Canis lupus familiaris: one gene and its partner. Each later gene encodes a partner of the first gene's protein in a complex. Links are inferred from orthologs where the notes say so. Each region holds a gene or a part of one and is shown in the gene's direction. Other genes may lie near its edges.

Evidence for each region. The genes of interacting proteins can lie anywhere in the genome.
Region 2: the proteins of BBS4 (region 1) and BBIP1 are in contact, whole or in part, in a cryo-EM structure (PDB 6VBV), measured with the Bos taurus proteins. The link is inferred for Canis lupus familiaris from reciprocal best matches to the Homo sapiens genes BBS4 and BBIP1. Residues at the interface, in NP_001069424.1 of Bos taurus: Leu210, Leu213, Tyr236, Leu240, Ala241, Ser244, Gln247, Thr248, Ser269, Pro271, Asn274, Asn275, Met278, Phe281, Gly282, Lys284, Tyr298, Leu299, Pro301, Leu302, Asp303, Trp304, Lys305, Ile306, Tyr308, Asn309, Leu312, Leu315, Thr316, Gln318; in XP_003587939.1 of Bos taurus: Met7, Phe8, Arg9, Glu10, Val11, Leu12, Pro13, Lys14, Gln15, Gly16, Gln17, Leu18, Tyr19, Val20, Glu21, Asp22, Leu28, Lys30, Pro31.

Annotation. Positions count from the first base shown.
Region 1 is NC_049251.1:36,541,619-36,545,118, forward strand, and holds part of BBS4 (Bardet-Biedl syndrome 4 protein), read left to right. Parts: intron 1-1,984; coding exon 1,985-2,039; intron 2,040-3,158; coding exon 3,159-3,227; intron 3,228-3,500.
Region 2 is NC_049249.1:22,464,449-22,468,553, reverse strand, and holds the start of BBIP1 (BBSome-interacting protein 1), read left to right. Parts: upstream 1-1,305; 5' UTR 1,306-1,644; intron 1,645-1,746; exon of another isoform or gene 1,747-1,950; intron 1,951-2,087; exon of another isoform or gene 2,088-2,357; intron 2,358-2,460; exon of another isoform or gene 2,461-2,472; 5' UTR 2,473-2,557; intron 2,558-4,105.

The DNA of each region.
Region 1 (3,500 bases):
CTTTGATAATGGAACTGACTGGCTTTCCCAGGATGGCGTTCCATGTTTCTTCTCTAGGGACACATACTATCTTATCTTTTTAATATAGGGTCTTGTTTGTTTTAAGTGGAATAGCTATAGCAAGATGTCTCGTTGGTTGTGTCACTTAACAGGATGTTTGGCCACAGAGTGTACTGTTCGTGATAATTAGTCTCTGAACTAAACTTAGATTTCTCCCAGTCACCTTTGTCTCCTACCATGGTAGTCACTTTTCTGGTTCTACCATCCACAACACTTCTTTCTGAATTTTCTTCAACCACATTTTGTGTCTAAAAAGACATAAAATTCCCTTGGCTTGGGGCACCTGGGTAGCTCAGTAGTTACCTTGTGATTTTGGCTGAGGTTGTGATCTCAGGGTTGTGAGATCGAGCCCTGTGTCAGGCTCCCCATTTGAGAGGAGTCTGCTTCAGAGTTTCTCTCTCTCCCTCTGCCCTTCCCCCTTTTCTTTCTCTCCCTGCCCCAAAATAAATAAATCTTAAAAAACAAACAAAAAACCCCTTGATTTGTTAAGTTACAAAAGACTCTTGTCACCAAGAGGCTAAGTTTACAGGGACAAGTAGGAAGGAGCCCATGTAGACTATTGTAAGCTTCTGTGGGGCTGGGTGGGAGCCTGATCCCTGACTTCTGTCTTCTAAAGCAGGCTCTTTGAGATTAGCTCACAGAAATCTAGAGGGTGACATTCTTCCAGGGGCTCGTCAAGGATGTAAGTCAGTAAAATTCCCAAGGGAAAAAGGGGACAGTGAGCATCTGGAACCTCACTGAGAATGGAGACCACTGCTTAGGACCCAGCTCTGGAGATGGTAGCCATGTTTTGGTGAGAGGGTGAGGGGGATGCCACCAGAACCAGCGAAGTTACAGAATTGGTTTGTGGGTGGGAGGCGATCCAAGTGGATATAGGATTACGGCAGAAAGTGAAGGGCAGATACTCAGTGGAATGGAGTAAGCTCCGTTTGGCATCTGGGCTTCCTCTGGCTGGGGCGCTGGCCTCTCTGGCGCTGCTCTCTCCATAGGTAACCAGTGCCCCTCATTCCTTAGAAGCAGGAGACGCTGTTCTTTGCATTTTGGCATTTTCACTGTTGAAACTGCTGATGATCCTACAGACAGAACAGCTCAGCTCAGTGTTGCTTAGATTTTTGTGACAAAGGCAAGTATCTGTGAGGGGTTGGGAAAGCAAAGAATCTATTAAGTCAGCGTTTATTCCCCAAAGCCAATGGTTAATTTTTTCCTCAAGCTGGTATGTGGCTTCCTTCTTTTTTAGTTTGGCTACTTAGTATGGCTTTTTGCTTAATATGGAGAGCAGAGCCTTAGGACCCCTGGGATCCTAAACCACGTAGAAAACTGCGGGCTCGCATTGTCAGTACCGGGAGACCAGAAAAACCACCAACCAACCAACCAACCAACCAAGCTGCGAGCGGGAACTGGCTACAACTGTGTGTTTTAGGCTGACTTGATTTATGGAGCATTGGACGTTAGTTACATCAGTAATCAGGACAGTCACACAGAATATTCCATAGGTGATTCTTAGGACTTAGGCCTTAAGGAACAGTCCTGATAAAGGAGTCTGGATTCTATTTTTTATTTTTTTAAAGATTGATTGATTTATTCATGAGAGACACACACAGAGGGAGAAGCAGGCTCCATGCGGGGAGCCCGATGCAGGACTCGGTCCCCGGACTCCAGGATCAGGCCCTGGGCCAAAGGCAGACGCTCAAACACTGAACCACCCAGGCGTCCCATTTCTTTCTTGCTGAGCAACTCATCCTGTAGCCAGGGCTGAGATGACCTGCTTTTGAAGGAAATTCCCAAATCCCCTGCAGGACTTTTCACAGGGAGTAGGAGGCACACGTGTCTGCCAGGTGCCGCCTGCGGGCACGTCACGGCCAGGTCTTGGCATCTCTCAGTCTCGCTTCCCTCTGAGCACTCCGCATTGACCTCTGTGTTGCAGGTTCTCGCCAGAAAACACGGAACTTCTTACGACTTTGGGACTACTGTACTTACAGGTAAGGAGGGAACCTTGACTCATTCATGCCCCAATGTTAGAAATGGTTTTGGGTTTGTGTGGATTGTGGCTTCCCTGCGATTTGATTGGACTGTAACACAACACATCTTACTCGAGCCTGTGAAGCGCAGGAACCTTCCTCTCCGCATCTGATATTCTCTGTCAGGACTGAATTCCCTGCATTAAATCAGAAGCAAACCAGTCAGTTTGAGGCTACTGCAGCTCTGATTCTTACCCACTTAAGGAAAAAGCATATAGGGATCCCTGGGTGGCGCAGCGGTTTGGCGCCTGCCTTTGGCCCAGGGCGCGGTCCTGGAGACCCGGGATCGAATCCCACATCGGGCTCCCGGTGCATGGAGCCTGCTTCTCCCTCTGCCTGTGTCTCTGCCCCTCTCTCTCTCACTGTGTGCCTATCATAAATAAATAAATAAATAAAAAATTAAAAAAAAAAATTTAAAAAAAAAAAAGGAAAAAGCATATATGAGAAATAACGGGGGTGGGGAGGGACCTTATGTCGTGGTGGGAGAAGCCTTGAGCCCCAGTGGGGCTTTGGGGCAGAGGCGGTTTCTGTTGCTCCTTCTTCCCAGCCAGGTCTCTGTCTGTCTGGAACAAGGAGTCTCCCTCCCCTCCACGTTTTCCTGCATGTGAATGGCATTCTTTTAGTGCCTGCAGTTCAGTTGTACCAGCCTGCGCCCGCCATATCCCTGTGCCCTCCCCACCCTGCCCCTACCGGCTCCTCGGGGTCCCTCCTAGCTGACCCTGCAGCTCTGCCTCCAGGGCGGCCTTTCTGTCTGTTTTGTTTTTCTGGGCCTTCCTGGGCTTTGGCTTGGATGTTGGCCCCAGGGAAATGAGGCTAAGCAGCCCATTTTCTGCCAAGGAGGCATTAGTGTGGAACAGCAGAGCGTGCCAGAGGTGGTTTCTGGCAAACAGATACTTTGACCTTCAGGGGAAATCAACAAACATGGGGATTTTTAGTTTTCTTTTTTTTATCTGGTATCTGTAGCTTTTTTTATCATGACAACTGGAAAGCCCAGGCATTTCAGTTCAGGGTGTGGTTGGCCAGACTCCTTAACTGCTCTCTCTCCACTGATCTAATTCTCTGGTTTGCTTTTTCTCCAAGCTCGGCATTTACCAGAAGGCATTTGAACACCTTGGAAATGCGCTGACTTACGACCCTACCAACTACAAGGTATCATGGGCTGTCAAACCCCAGGGCCTTCAAATAGGTGTTCCTGCTGTTGCCAGAGGTGATCTGGCCCTAGAAAGCATTTTGGATACCCGAGAAATCACCTTTCTCTTAGGAAAAGTATAAATAGACACGGCCCTTAGTGTTAGCGCTCTGCTTATTTTCTACAAGCACATGTTTGCTGTCACAGGCCTGTCACGCAGTGAAGTTGTCGCACTGGTGAAGGTCCGTGTGTTACTCAGGAAGTGAACAAAGCTTCCACAGCTACTGTCCGAG
Region 2 (4,105 bases), on another chromosome or scaffold:
CCAAGTGTTAAGGGCTGAAAGCCTGAAAACACACACACACACACACACACACACACACACACACAAAAGCATCTTCTTTCCAACTCCCCGAATCGGCATTCCTTCCACCTGTTTGTAAATCCATACTAACACAATAACACATAAGCTCTGCTGATTGAAAAACGGGGGAGGGGGGGCAATTAAGGGTTTGAAGTCCTCCTCCTTCCACCCAGGCTTGGGGCGGGGGAGGGGGATGGTACACAACAATGGATACTGAGGGGCTGGGGGGAAATCGTCGGTCCTTGAGGCTCCAGCGCGGGGGGGGGGGGGGGGGGTAGAGTACTTTTCCTCTATTCCGAAGAGCTGCCGCGGAAGGAGGCTGGCACCAGGCAAGTCCGCCGGGGCCGGAGGGCAGGCTCTCCGGGCGGCACAGCCTAAGCCGCCTCGCCGCTCTTCTCTTCCCCGGGAGGCGACGAGGGGAGACAGCGACGGGCTCCGGGCTCCGGGCAAGGGGCGGGGGAAGGCGCGACCCCGCACCGCCAGCGCCGCGCCAAGGCCCCCGCCGAGCCTCGCCCGCCTCCGCGACGCCCACGGGGCGCCCCGCAGCCCGGGCCAGGTGCCCCCGGGGGCGGAGCGGGCAGGGCCGTGCTCCGGGCGCCCCCGGCCCGCGCGCCGCCCCGCCGCCCGCCGCCGCCGCAGGCCCGGCCCCGGCCGCTGTCAGCGCCGCCCCGCTCACCGCCGGCGCCGGGCTGCGGGCCCCGCACGAGCGCCGGCTCCGAGGGCCCAGCCCTCCCCGCGCCCGCGCCCGCGCCCGCGCCCGCACCCGGGAGAGCGGCGGCGGCGGCGGCGGCGGCGGCGGCGCCTCCCCGGGCCCCAGCCCCTCGGGCCTCGCCCGGCCCCGCCGGCTCCTGCCCCTCAGGGCGCGCGGGGCCTCCCCCTACCGACAGCCGGCCGGACCGCCCGACGGGCAGGAAAGAAGGCAGGAAGAGCCGACCGACAAACACCCTCCCGCCTCAGCGGCCCCGCGTTACCGTCGGGAGCCCCAACTCCGCCATCCTCCTCGCTCGCCCTCCTTCCTCCTCCTCCTCAGAAGCGACGCTGCCCAACCGCCGCCCCCCGCCCGCCCCTCCCCCACTCGCCCCGCCCCGCCCCGCCCGCGCCTCCACACACTCTCGCTCCCACCGCCCCGCCCCACCCCTCCGGCGCAGGCCAGTCACTCGCTGGCGAAGAAAAGCAGGCGGAGCCAGGCGTGCCGACGCCGCCCAATCAGAGCGGGGCGCTGGCGCCAACGCCGCTGTCCAATCACAGCGAGGCACTGGCGCCAGCTTCCCTCGCCCCGCCTTTTTCCTCTCCTCAGCTGCTCTACGCCCTCTCTCCCGCCCACTGGGCGCCGCCGGCCGGCCGAGCCACCGAGGGAGCCTCCAGCAGGGTAGAGGGACGACTCCCAATCGGAAGTTACTGTTGAAGCTAAGGCAGCCATGACGGATAATGGCACGGAGTTTCCTGGCCTCCCGTCTCCAGTGTGACGTAGTTTTCCCTTCGCCCAAAAAAAAAAAAATAAATAAATAAAACTCGCCGTTGCCCTGGGCAACAGTCGAGCCGTCTGGGAAGAGAGAAATCTGCAAGTAGGCCCGAAAAAGGACTAACGGTGACCAGACATCCCAGGTCAGACAACTTAATTCCTATTCTGAACTACCTGCCCGGGCTGGGGGAGAGGAAGGCGCAGGCTTCCTGCCCCTTATTGTGCTGGGACGTCTGGTCACTTACCCAGCTGGACAGGAGGTCAGGGTGCCGAAAGTCCCTGTCCTGCCCGGAAGCTGCATTTGGCACTTCTGAATGGGGTCATGGCGGAGGGGTGGGAAGAGCCAGAGCCCCCCCGCCCCGGCGCCCCGGGGATCGCAGAGTGGGGTGACGGTGCGTCGGCGCTGTCCCGCGAGGCGGCCCGCGGGAGACGGAGAGCCGAGGAGGGGCGCCGAGCTCCCAGCCGCTTCCGCCGGAGGAGGGTTTCTTTCCGGGAGGGCCCGGCGGCGGCCGCCCCACCCCCGCCCCCGCCCCCGCCCCCGCCCCCCGAGGTTCCCGGAGGGGCTCGGGCGCGCGCCGCGGGGCAGAGCGCGGGGCAGAGCGCGGGGCTCCCGGGGGCCGGGGCTCCCGACCGCGCCGCCTCCCCCGCCCCGACCTTGGGAGGACGGCGGGTGCTGGAGCTCCGGGAAATCGTTTTGCGTCGCCACCGAGGAAGGAAGGGGGGGGGTCCGCCACCGCCGCGGCAACCCCTCCGAGTCTTTATTTTCCCGCCTCCCGTCTGCACGCTCCGAGTGTCGTTCCTCTGGTTTCCCCTCCTCCGGGCGCCTGTAAGGCGATGACTGCAGTTCTGGGCGAAGGTATACGGTCCTGCTCCCCCACGGCCACGCTTCACTAGACAACGTGAGGCTTGTGAATGTGCTTAGAAATGCCGTCGTGCTTTTCACACGTTCTGTCGTGCAGTTTCTTCCGTAGGCCTGAGTCGAGGACTGTAAGTCATCCTGGTCATACCGGGTCGGGCGCCTACAGTTGCCGGGGAGAAGACCGGGAGAACTTGCAGGTAAATGGAAAATTGTATTTGCCCAGCCAGCCAACAAGGGTGCAGACCTGCCTTTTCTCCTTTCTGCTTCCCATACTACCCATGCCTTAGCCAAAAGGAACTAACTACTCTTGTTTCTTCCAAAATGAATCATTGAAGCACTAACCTTTGGTGACTGTTTCCATGCCCCACTCATCCTTGGAGATGTGTTTCCAGATTGTCTCCAGCAGGAAGTAATTTCCCCTGTGCTTACCTAGCACTTTTTATGCTTCTTTTAGGACAACCACTATTTTATATAACAGCTGCTTATGTTTTTAGCTTTACTGCTGTGTTTACATCTGAATGGAATGATTTTGTCTTATCATCTTTATCCTGCACATGATACTGTTTTGGTAAATACTACTAAAAAAGATTGTATATATTTGGTGTCTGCCGGGTGCCTAAGACACTGCCAGCTTCAGTCGATCAAATGCAGCGTTGCTCTTGTTACTCAACCTTTTCTTAGATTTCCCCTCTGAAGTCTTTCCAACATGATTTCTTCCCTCAATTAAAAAAAATTATGCATAAAAAAAGTCAAAAGAATGTAATAAACATTAGAGAGAGGCAGAGGGAGAGCCTGATGCAGGACTCAATCCCAGAACCCCAGGATCACAACCTGAGCCAAAGGCAGACGCTCAACCACTGAAACACTCAGGTGCCCCACGTTTTGCCATATTTATTTCATCCTTATTTTCATGCTTTTTTCGTTGTCATTAAATTATTTGGAAATAGGTTACAGACACCTATTGTTAAGCAGACATTTCTAAGATTTCCAAAATGTACTCCCTAAGAATTATAAAGTTCTGCAAAACATGTTATCATTATCACAACTGAAGAAGTTAATAGCTTCTGCAACAAAATTCAGGATTCTGTCAAGGTTTATGTATTGTATATGGGTGTTGTAACTCTAGCCTTAATCTAGAGCAACTCCCTTATCTTTTTTTCCCCTGTAACATTGTCATTTTAAAAAGTTCAAGCAAAGGTGTTTTTGAATGTCTTTTTTCTTATTTCTTGTAAGTCAGAAGTTTATCTAGAGGCTTGATTAAATTCCGCTTATTTTGCAAGAATACTTTGCAGTATTCATACTTTGCCAATCATGATTAAGCCTTCTCAAATAACTGTATCTACCCATGTCATATGTTGCTAGTTAAATCCGTCCCACAGAAAAAAATAAAATAAATAAATAAATAAATAAATAAATAAATAAATCCATCCCCCTTCTCTGCACACACTACCTCCTGTGGTATCCTACAAAGAAGGGTTTAGTGTTTAATCTTCCTGTCTATGAAGAGTAAGTGCTAGCGTCCTGGACTGTCTGCCTATAGTCAAGTGTTGCTGCTACTTTGCCGACACTTGGAGCTGATGCGATATGATCTGCAGCAGTGTACTGATGTCAGCACAGTTTCATGAGTTTCAACTCCTGGCACCCTGAGGATTGTTGATGAAAGATGTGTGGGCCCTGCAATTCAAATACAGATGAATCTTGATGTTATCAAAGCAGATACCAAGGCAACTGCTGGCCATCTGGTA